Linked DNA regions of Sus scrofa. The protein of the gene in region 1 purifies or fractionates together with the protein of each later gene. This does not show direct contact. Links are inferred from orthologs where the notes say so. Each region holds a gene or a part of one and is shown in the gene's direction. Other genes may lie near its edges. The genes, in order: tumor necrosis factor receptor superfamily member 10B-like and CFLAR.

Region 1 (2,779 bases):
TGCCCACTCTGAGGCACCTCAGGGGCTGTGCGGTCCAGCAGGGCACCCACTGGTCCCAGGAGGCTGTGGGGCAGCTGACCTGTGGCCGCATTTGATGAGCTGTGTTAGAACTCGATCCCGTATCTCAAAGAATTGGTAGAAAACAGGAATGTAATAGGTCCCATCAACAATTTTTGACCATTATTACATTTTGAGATGAACGTTTTGGAATGTATTGAGTCCGTGCCATATTTTATGGAAATTAGTATAACTTGTTAACATTTTACGTTTTCCAGCGTAGCTGTGAGAGAATATGAACTTCCTTCAGCGGCCACCTTAGGTACCTATGCACAGTGGTGTGCACTGCGTTGCACACGCTTGCCCTGCATCCCCAGTACAGTCCCACGAGGCGGGCGGCCTCGGCTCCACCTCACATGTTAGCGTCTGTTTGTCCCCATCCAGCTCAGGAAGGCCGAGCTGAGTGTGAAGCCAGAGACCTTCCAAGCTCCAGGCCTTGCTGGGGCCCCAGTGCAGCTGGGGGCCCTGAGTCTCACGAGAGGGGCAGGTGCCACCCTGAGTCTCCTGAGAGGGGCAGGTGGCCCCCTCTGCCTCCTGCCACTACTGCCTTCTCCCTCCATGACGTCCGTTTCCCCTCCCCGGTGGGCCCTTCTCCCTCACTTAGGACAGGATTCTCTGGTGACCTTGACTCCCTACGGTGTCCTGGGGACATAGGGGGCCCAGGCAGCGTGTGGCCTGATTTCTCTGTGGCTGGGAAGCAGGTCAGGGATGCAGAGCAGCAGCTGCCTCAGCAGGGGGAGCTCTTCAGGTCCCGCCCTGGGGTCCAGGCCTGCCCGAGGGTCCTCTGCCCTTTCTGAAGCTGGTCCCAACCTTCTCTCTGTGACTTTCCCCCAACCTAGGCTTGAGGCAGTGCTTTGATGACTTTTCCAACATCGTGCCTTGTGATTGCTGGGACAAACTCATGAGAAAGATGGGCCTCAACCAAAATGAGATCCTTCAGAGCAGAGATCGCGCCCGGAACACCGGGGATGCCTTGTATGAGATGCTGGAGACCTGGGTCCGCCGCAAAGGGCGGGAGGCCTCAGTCAACGACCTCCTCGATGCCTTGGAAGCACTGGGGCAAAGATCCGCAAAGGAGGAAATTGAGGACAAGCTTGTGGACTCAGGAAAATTCGTCTTCAAAGAAAGTGAAGCTGGTGCTGCTGTGTCCTGAGTGTAAAAGGATCTCTTTATGAAACCACAGCTTCCCTACTTTATGTTTTTTGCTGGAAAGGGAAGCATGATTAGATACCAGCTTGAAAGAAACATCAGGTACTTGGACCAAATACTTGAATGAAGTCTACCTTCGGATATATGCCACACTTGTAAAGTTCTAGAACTTTTTGGTTAAACTAGAGTAATTTTTGAGAAATGTCATTGATAAGCGATGGTGGAAACATTTATGAATATGTGCGTGAATTTACTGAGAGCTGATTTAGGATATCATTCTGTTCAGGACACTCTTATCCTAACAGAATTGCACTTTTTACTTGTACTTTTTATAATGTGAGTTCCATTTGGATTGATATGCTTATTCTTAATTGTCTAACTGTACTATGATATTTTATGATATACATTTGTCTATTTTTATATTTTTGTACGTATTTGTATAAATGCACAAAACTTTTTGGAAATGCACTTACTCGGTTGCCTGCATGAGTTCCTAAAATAGGAGCAAGCAACAATAACAAAAGAAACCCAAAGAAGGAAGAGGAAAAAGCCCATCGCTTTAGGAGGCATCATTGAGTTCAGTTCTCCCTCATATGGGAGTTTAACTTGTCTAGGAGTAGATAACCAACTTTTAAAGTGTCCATCATTTCCAACTGATTATTTTATAGATATGGGATTATTTATATTATTTATTGGTAAATGTTTACAAATGAGCAGAGAGTGGGTCTGTTATACACAGGCTTTATTATGTTGAGGTATGTTTCTTCTATGTCCATTTAGCAGAGAGCTTTTTAAATTATCATTATAAATGGATGTTGAATTTTGTCACAATCTTCTGCATCTGTTTTGATGATCATATGGTTTTTATGCTTCAGTTTGCTGATGTGCTATACTATATGGGTTGATTCGCAGATATTGGAAAAATCCTTGCATTCCTGGGATAAATCCCACGTAATCATGGTATAGATTCTTTTGATGTATTGCTGGATTTGGTTTGCTGATATTTTGTTGAGGAGTTTTGCACATATGTTCATCGGTGATATTGGATGGCAATTTTCTCTTTTCGATGATATCTTCGTCTGGATTTGGTATCAGTTTGATGCTGGCCTCGTAGAATGAGTTCAGAAGTGTTCCTTCCTCTACAATTCTCTGGGATATTTTGAGAAAGATAGGTGTTAATTCTCACGATGTTTGGTGGAATTATTCTGTGAAGGCTCGTTGGGGTTTTTTTTTTATTATTTGGTTTGTGGGTTTATTATTATCATTGTTATTATTACTGATTCAATTTTGGCTGGTCCCAGAAGAGGGTCTGAGAACAGTTTGGGGCCACAGCCTGTAGGATTGTGAGGTTTTTTGCACTTAGTGTCTGCCCCCTGCCCTCTGGAGGCTGTCCAGAGGCTGGTGTAGGCTTCCTGGAGGGCAGGGCCTGTGCCTGCCCACTGGGGAGTAGAGCTGGGTCTTGGCCTGCTGGTGGGTAGTGCCAAGGCTTGGGTGGCTCTGCAAAGTCTTTAGGCAGTCTCTCTGCTGATGGGTGGGGCTGTGTCCCAGTTCAGTTAGTTGTTTGGCTTGAGGC
Region 2 (3,824 bases), on another chromosome or scaffold:
CACACTTGTTCTATTATTTCCTTAGGACAAACTTCTAGCAGCAGAATATTGGTTTAAAGGCTAAATGTCCTTTAAAAACTGTTTCAGAGTTCCCGTCATGGCTCAGGGGTTAACGAACCCAACTAACATCCATGAGGATGTGGGTTCGATCCCTGGCCTTGCTCAGTGGGTTAAGGATCCAGCTTTGCCATGAGCTGCGGTGTAGGCTGTCAGTTACAGCTCTAATTCAACCCCTAGCCTGGGAACCTCCATATGCCATGGGTGTGGCCCTAAAAAGACAAAAAGACCAAAATAAATAAATAAATAAAACTGTTTCACCTTACATAGCATTAGATTTGCAAGTGCTTATTTCTCCCAAACCTTACCGATACTAACATTTTCTTTGCCTGTCTTTAGACATTATTTCTCATTTTTGCAACAATCATATAAATTAGATGTTTGTCTCAGATTGAAAACAAAACAAAACCCCTCAAAACTCTGAGACTTGAAGAGGAAACTTGCCCAAGATCACAGAACTTGTTGGTAACAGTGCTAGGGTTTCACCCAGCTCTTTATGGCTTCAAAACTGATGATTTCTCTACCTCCCCAGGGGCTAATAAAGTCATTTTTTATTTAACAAGGAGATAAGGCTCAACTACATTTGCTAAGCCCACTGTCCCTTATCTTGCCTTTGATGTTTTATTACATGATCTCCAAACATCACTGGACTAAGAAAACATGGCCATCTGGTCTGTAAGTGGAAAACCCACAAAAGCTTTCCCCTCTCTGGGTCTGTAAGGCTAGTCCCTAGAGGCGCTGTCCACCGTTTCAGCACATGCAGTAAAGCTATTGGTATTGTTGGTTGGTAAGTTCATTAGATTCTCCCTGTCAGGTTAAAAACTCACCAGTCACCTGGTCCTCACCTGGAGAAAGGCCTTCTTTCATGTCTATTTAAGTAGTTTTTCTACATAACCCCTGTTAAGCAGGGGGACTTGTGTTTTCTTATCAATTAGGTTTTTCAGGGTGAGGTTGGAAGCTCGGGGCTGAATATAGCTGGGGACAGAAGCGATAAGAGGGGGAAGAAAATAGGGAAAGAGAACAGCTGTGACGTAAGCTCAGCCAGCATGGGAGCAAGCCTCGCTCTCCTTCAGCTTTTTTAAATGGATTTTCTCTCTCATCCCCCAGGAGACCCAGTGAAGACATCCATTCAAGAATCTGGGGCATTTTTGCTTCAGGTACAGAATAAATGATCTGACTTGGTATTGTATTGTAAGCACGGTATCTATGGTGAACACTGAGGCTTTAAAAATAGCTGTCCATTAAGTATTCTTTGTGACAACAATAGGACACTGAGAGGGCTATTCTGGGAACGCTTCTGTTCTGAAGGGGAACCTTGGATGTAACAAAGAGAGCGATGTTGAAGTGGATTGCATTAGTGAACATTCAAAAGTAGAATTTTTCTTAGCTGAGATTTGCTTGAATGTATAAGTAGGTGGTGACACTCAACCTTGACTTGTTCTGACTTTTTCTTCTGCTGGTACCTCTTCTCTGTAAGGAGAGGCAATAGAAGGCCTTTTGTACTGGTTAGGAAAGATTTTACTTGTCCAACATTCGGTTACTGTGGAAACATATGACCTATCTTTTCTCTGTGTTTTAAATTATCTTTACTCCACAAAGCTAAGACATGTGTAAAAGAGACTGCACTTTTCATTAAAATGAAATCAGAACTGAAATAGCTTGTTGATGTTAAAGGGAAATGTCAGCTGTGCTGACTTCAGCCTGTGTCTATTGAGTGACTCACCTGCCAAAGGGAAATTCAAGGAAATCCAAAAGTAGAGATGATACGGGGGGGGACCTCGAGGAAACAGAACAATGCTTAGAGTCTTTAACAATCGCTGCTTTCCTTTCCAGCATGTACCGGAAGAGAGATATAAGATGCAGAGCAAGCCCCTAGGAATCTGCCTGATAATTGATTGCGTTGGCAATGACACAGGTAGGTGCGGTTGTACCGGATGGATTGATGGATTGATGGCTGCCGTCCTCAGAGTGACCAACACTAGCCGCTGCACCAAACCACTGCTGGAATGTGGTTTCACACATGAAGGGTAGTTTCTCACGCATGTCACAGTCCAGCATGGATGGGGCTGGGGAGCTCTGTTTCATGTGCTCATTCAGGGGCTTCAGCATCTGTGGTCTTGGAGTTTTCCACTGGATCCTTTGTGTCTGGCTGGTGGATGAAGGAAGTGTGCGAGGATCTCACAAGACTTTAGGGACAGGCCAGACAGTGATATGCATCAGCTCTACCCACATTACTTTGGTCTGAACTCACCCCTGTGCCCCACCCAACCGGAGCAGACCAGGAACTTGGTCAAGCAGTGTGTCAGGAGGAAAATGAAAGGGAGTTGGGGAACCACGTAGTATTGTCTCTGGCACAAAGGTCTACTTTGTGAAAGTTGTGAACTTTAGTCCTGTCTTTCCATGCCAGATGCTCTGGCAGGTAGGAGCTGTGGGACTTTAAAATGGAAGGTTTTCTGGGCTTAAGTATCATCAGATGCCCCCTAGTTTTGCCTAGATTGACTCTGAAAGCTTTCTGGGGAAGATTGAAAATAGGACACATTTGTGTTCGCTTAGAGGCAAGATGTCCCTTAGTTCTGCCACCCTGGACTTTTGTTATTGGCCTGAGCCTGTACTTACCTGTGGGTCCCCATTGTTTGGCTCTGAGTTGATTGTTTTGTGTGGTCATTGTTGGATGTCTGACTGGAACTGAATCAGTCACTGGTGATGCATCAAAAGAGAATGAGAAGAGCCTAGATGAGTGCATTTGGTTTAATTATTTATCTCTTGCTTGAAAGGATTGATTGTTATATTTCTACCGTTTTGCATCTTCTCAGCATTCTCTTAGAATGAGTCAGAGCTGTCTTTGAGGCTCACTTAAAATGTTACCACTGTGAGTTTAATGGAAAGAGAAACTAAGAGAGGTCAAATTAGCAAATATTAGGCTGAATTTCCCAGGATTTCGGATGTGATCTCATTTTGTCATGTCCTATATATGGTTAGATGTGAAAACTGCTATCTCCTAAGCAATAGATGCGTCCTTTATTTATTTATTTATTTTTTTTAAAAACAGTTGAGGCAGAGTTGAAATGGAAGATTTGTCCTTTCTGTTTTAGCTATTAAGTATCCATATAAAGGGGGGTGGGGGGATGTGCTTGGGTTGTGGGTTGGAAATCCTGTGAAATTGAATTGTGATGATCATTATGCAACTACAGATGTGATAAATTCATTGACTAATAAAAACAAAGAGAAAAAAAGTATCCATATGAAGATGAGAAAATGTTTCCTCAATGAGTAACTTCCTTCCCTAAAAGAGATTGTGTAATTATCCTTTTTCAGTGGTAATCAGCTGTAATCAGTTCCGTTTCATATTTTTAGCAGAAAGTTTCCAACTGGACTTGGTCCAGGGTGTATATCTGTTGTGTGAAGAGAATCACACAGATAAAACCTGTGAATTTGTGGTTAAAATCCAGTGTCTGTGTTTGCTTCCCTCGCTGAGTGATGGGCCTCTTGCTAGCAGGGACTGAATGGGTATTTGTATTTTTCTGCATTAGAGAGTCGTGATCGGAGTTGAGCCCTAGAATACAACTGTGTGGGTTTGAATCTTGGCTTTGTTGGGTCCTAGATTGTTATCTGGGGCAAGTTTTCCAGCCTCCCTGTAGTTCAGTTTCTTTCTTATAAAATGAGTTAATATAACAGAACCCACCTTACAGGGAAGTTGGGAGGAGGGAGGGAGTTTGCCCTTGCAATGAACTTAGGGCAGGGCTTGGCACGTACCCTGTAAACATGTA

What was found.
Region 2: the proteins of tumor necrosis factor receptor superfamily member 10B-like (region 1) and CFLAR purify together in Homo sapiens (affinity purification with western blotting, with the first as the bait; 5 studies listed by BioGRID). This does not show direct contact. The link is inferred for Sus scrofa from reciprocal best matches to the Homo sapiens genes TNFRSF10B and CFLAR.

The regions. Positions count from the first base shown.
Region 1 is NC_010456.5:7,258,461-7,261,239, reverse strand, and holds part of tumor necrosis factor receptor superfamily member 10B-like, read left to right. Parts: exon of another isoform or gene 1-319; intron 320-896; coding exon 897-1,210; 3' UTR 1,211-2,779. UniProt on the Homo sapiens protein: Receptor for the cytotoxic ligand TNFSF10/TRAIL. The adapter molecule FADD recruits caspase-8 to the activated receptor.
Region 2 is NC_010457.5:104,813,151-104,816,974, forward strand, and holds part of CFLAR (CASP8 and FADD-like apoptosis regulator), read left to right. Parts: intron 1-1,164; coding exon 1,165-1,214; intron 1,215-1,890; coding exon 1,891-1,972; intron 1,973-3,824. UniProt on the Homo sapiens protein: Apoptosis regulator protein which may function as a crucial link between cell survival and cell death pathways in mammalian cells. Acts as an inhibitor of TNFRSF6 mediated apoptosis.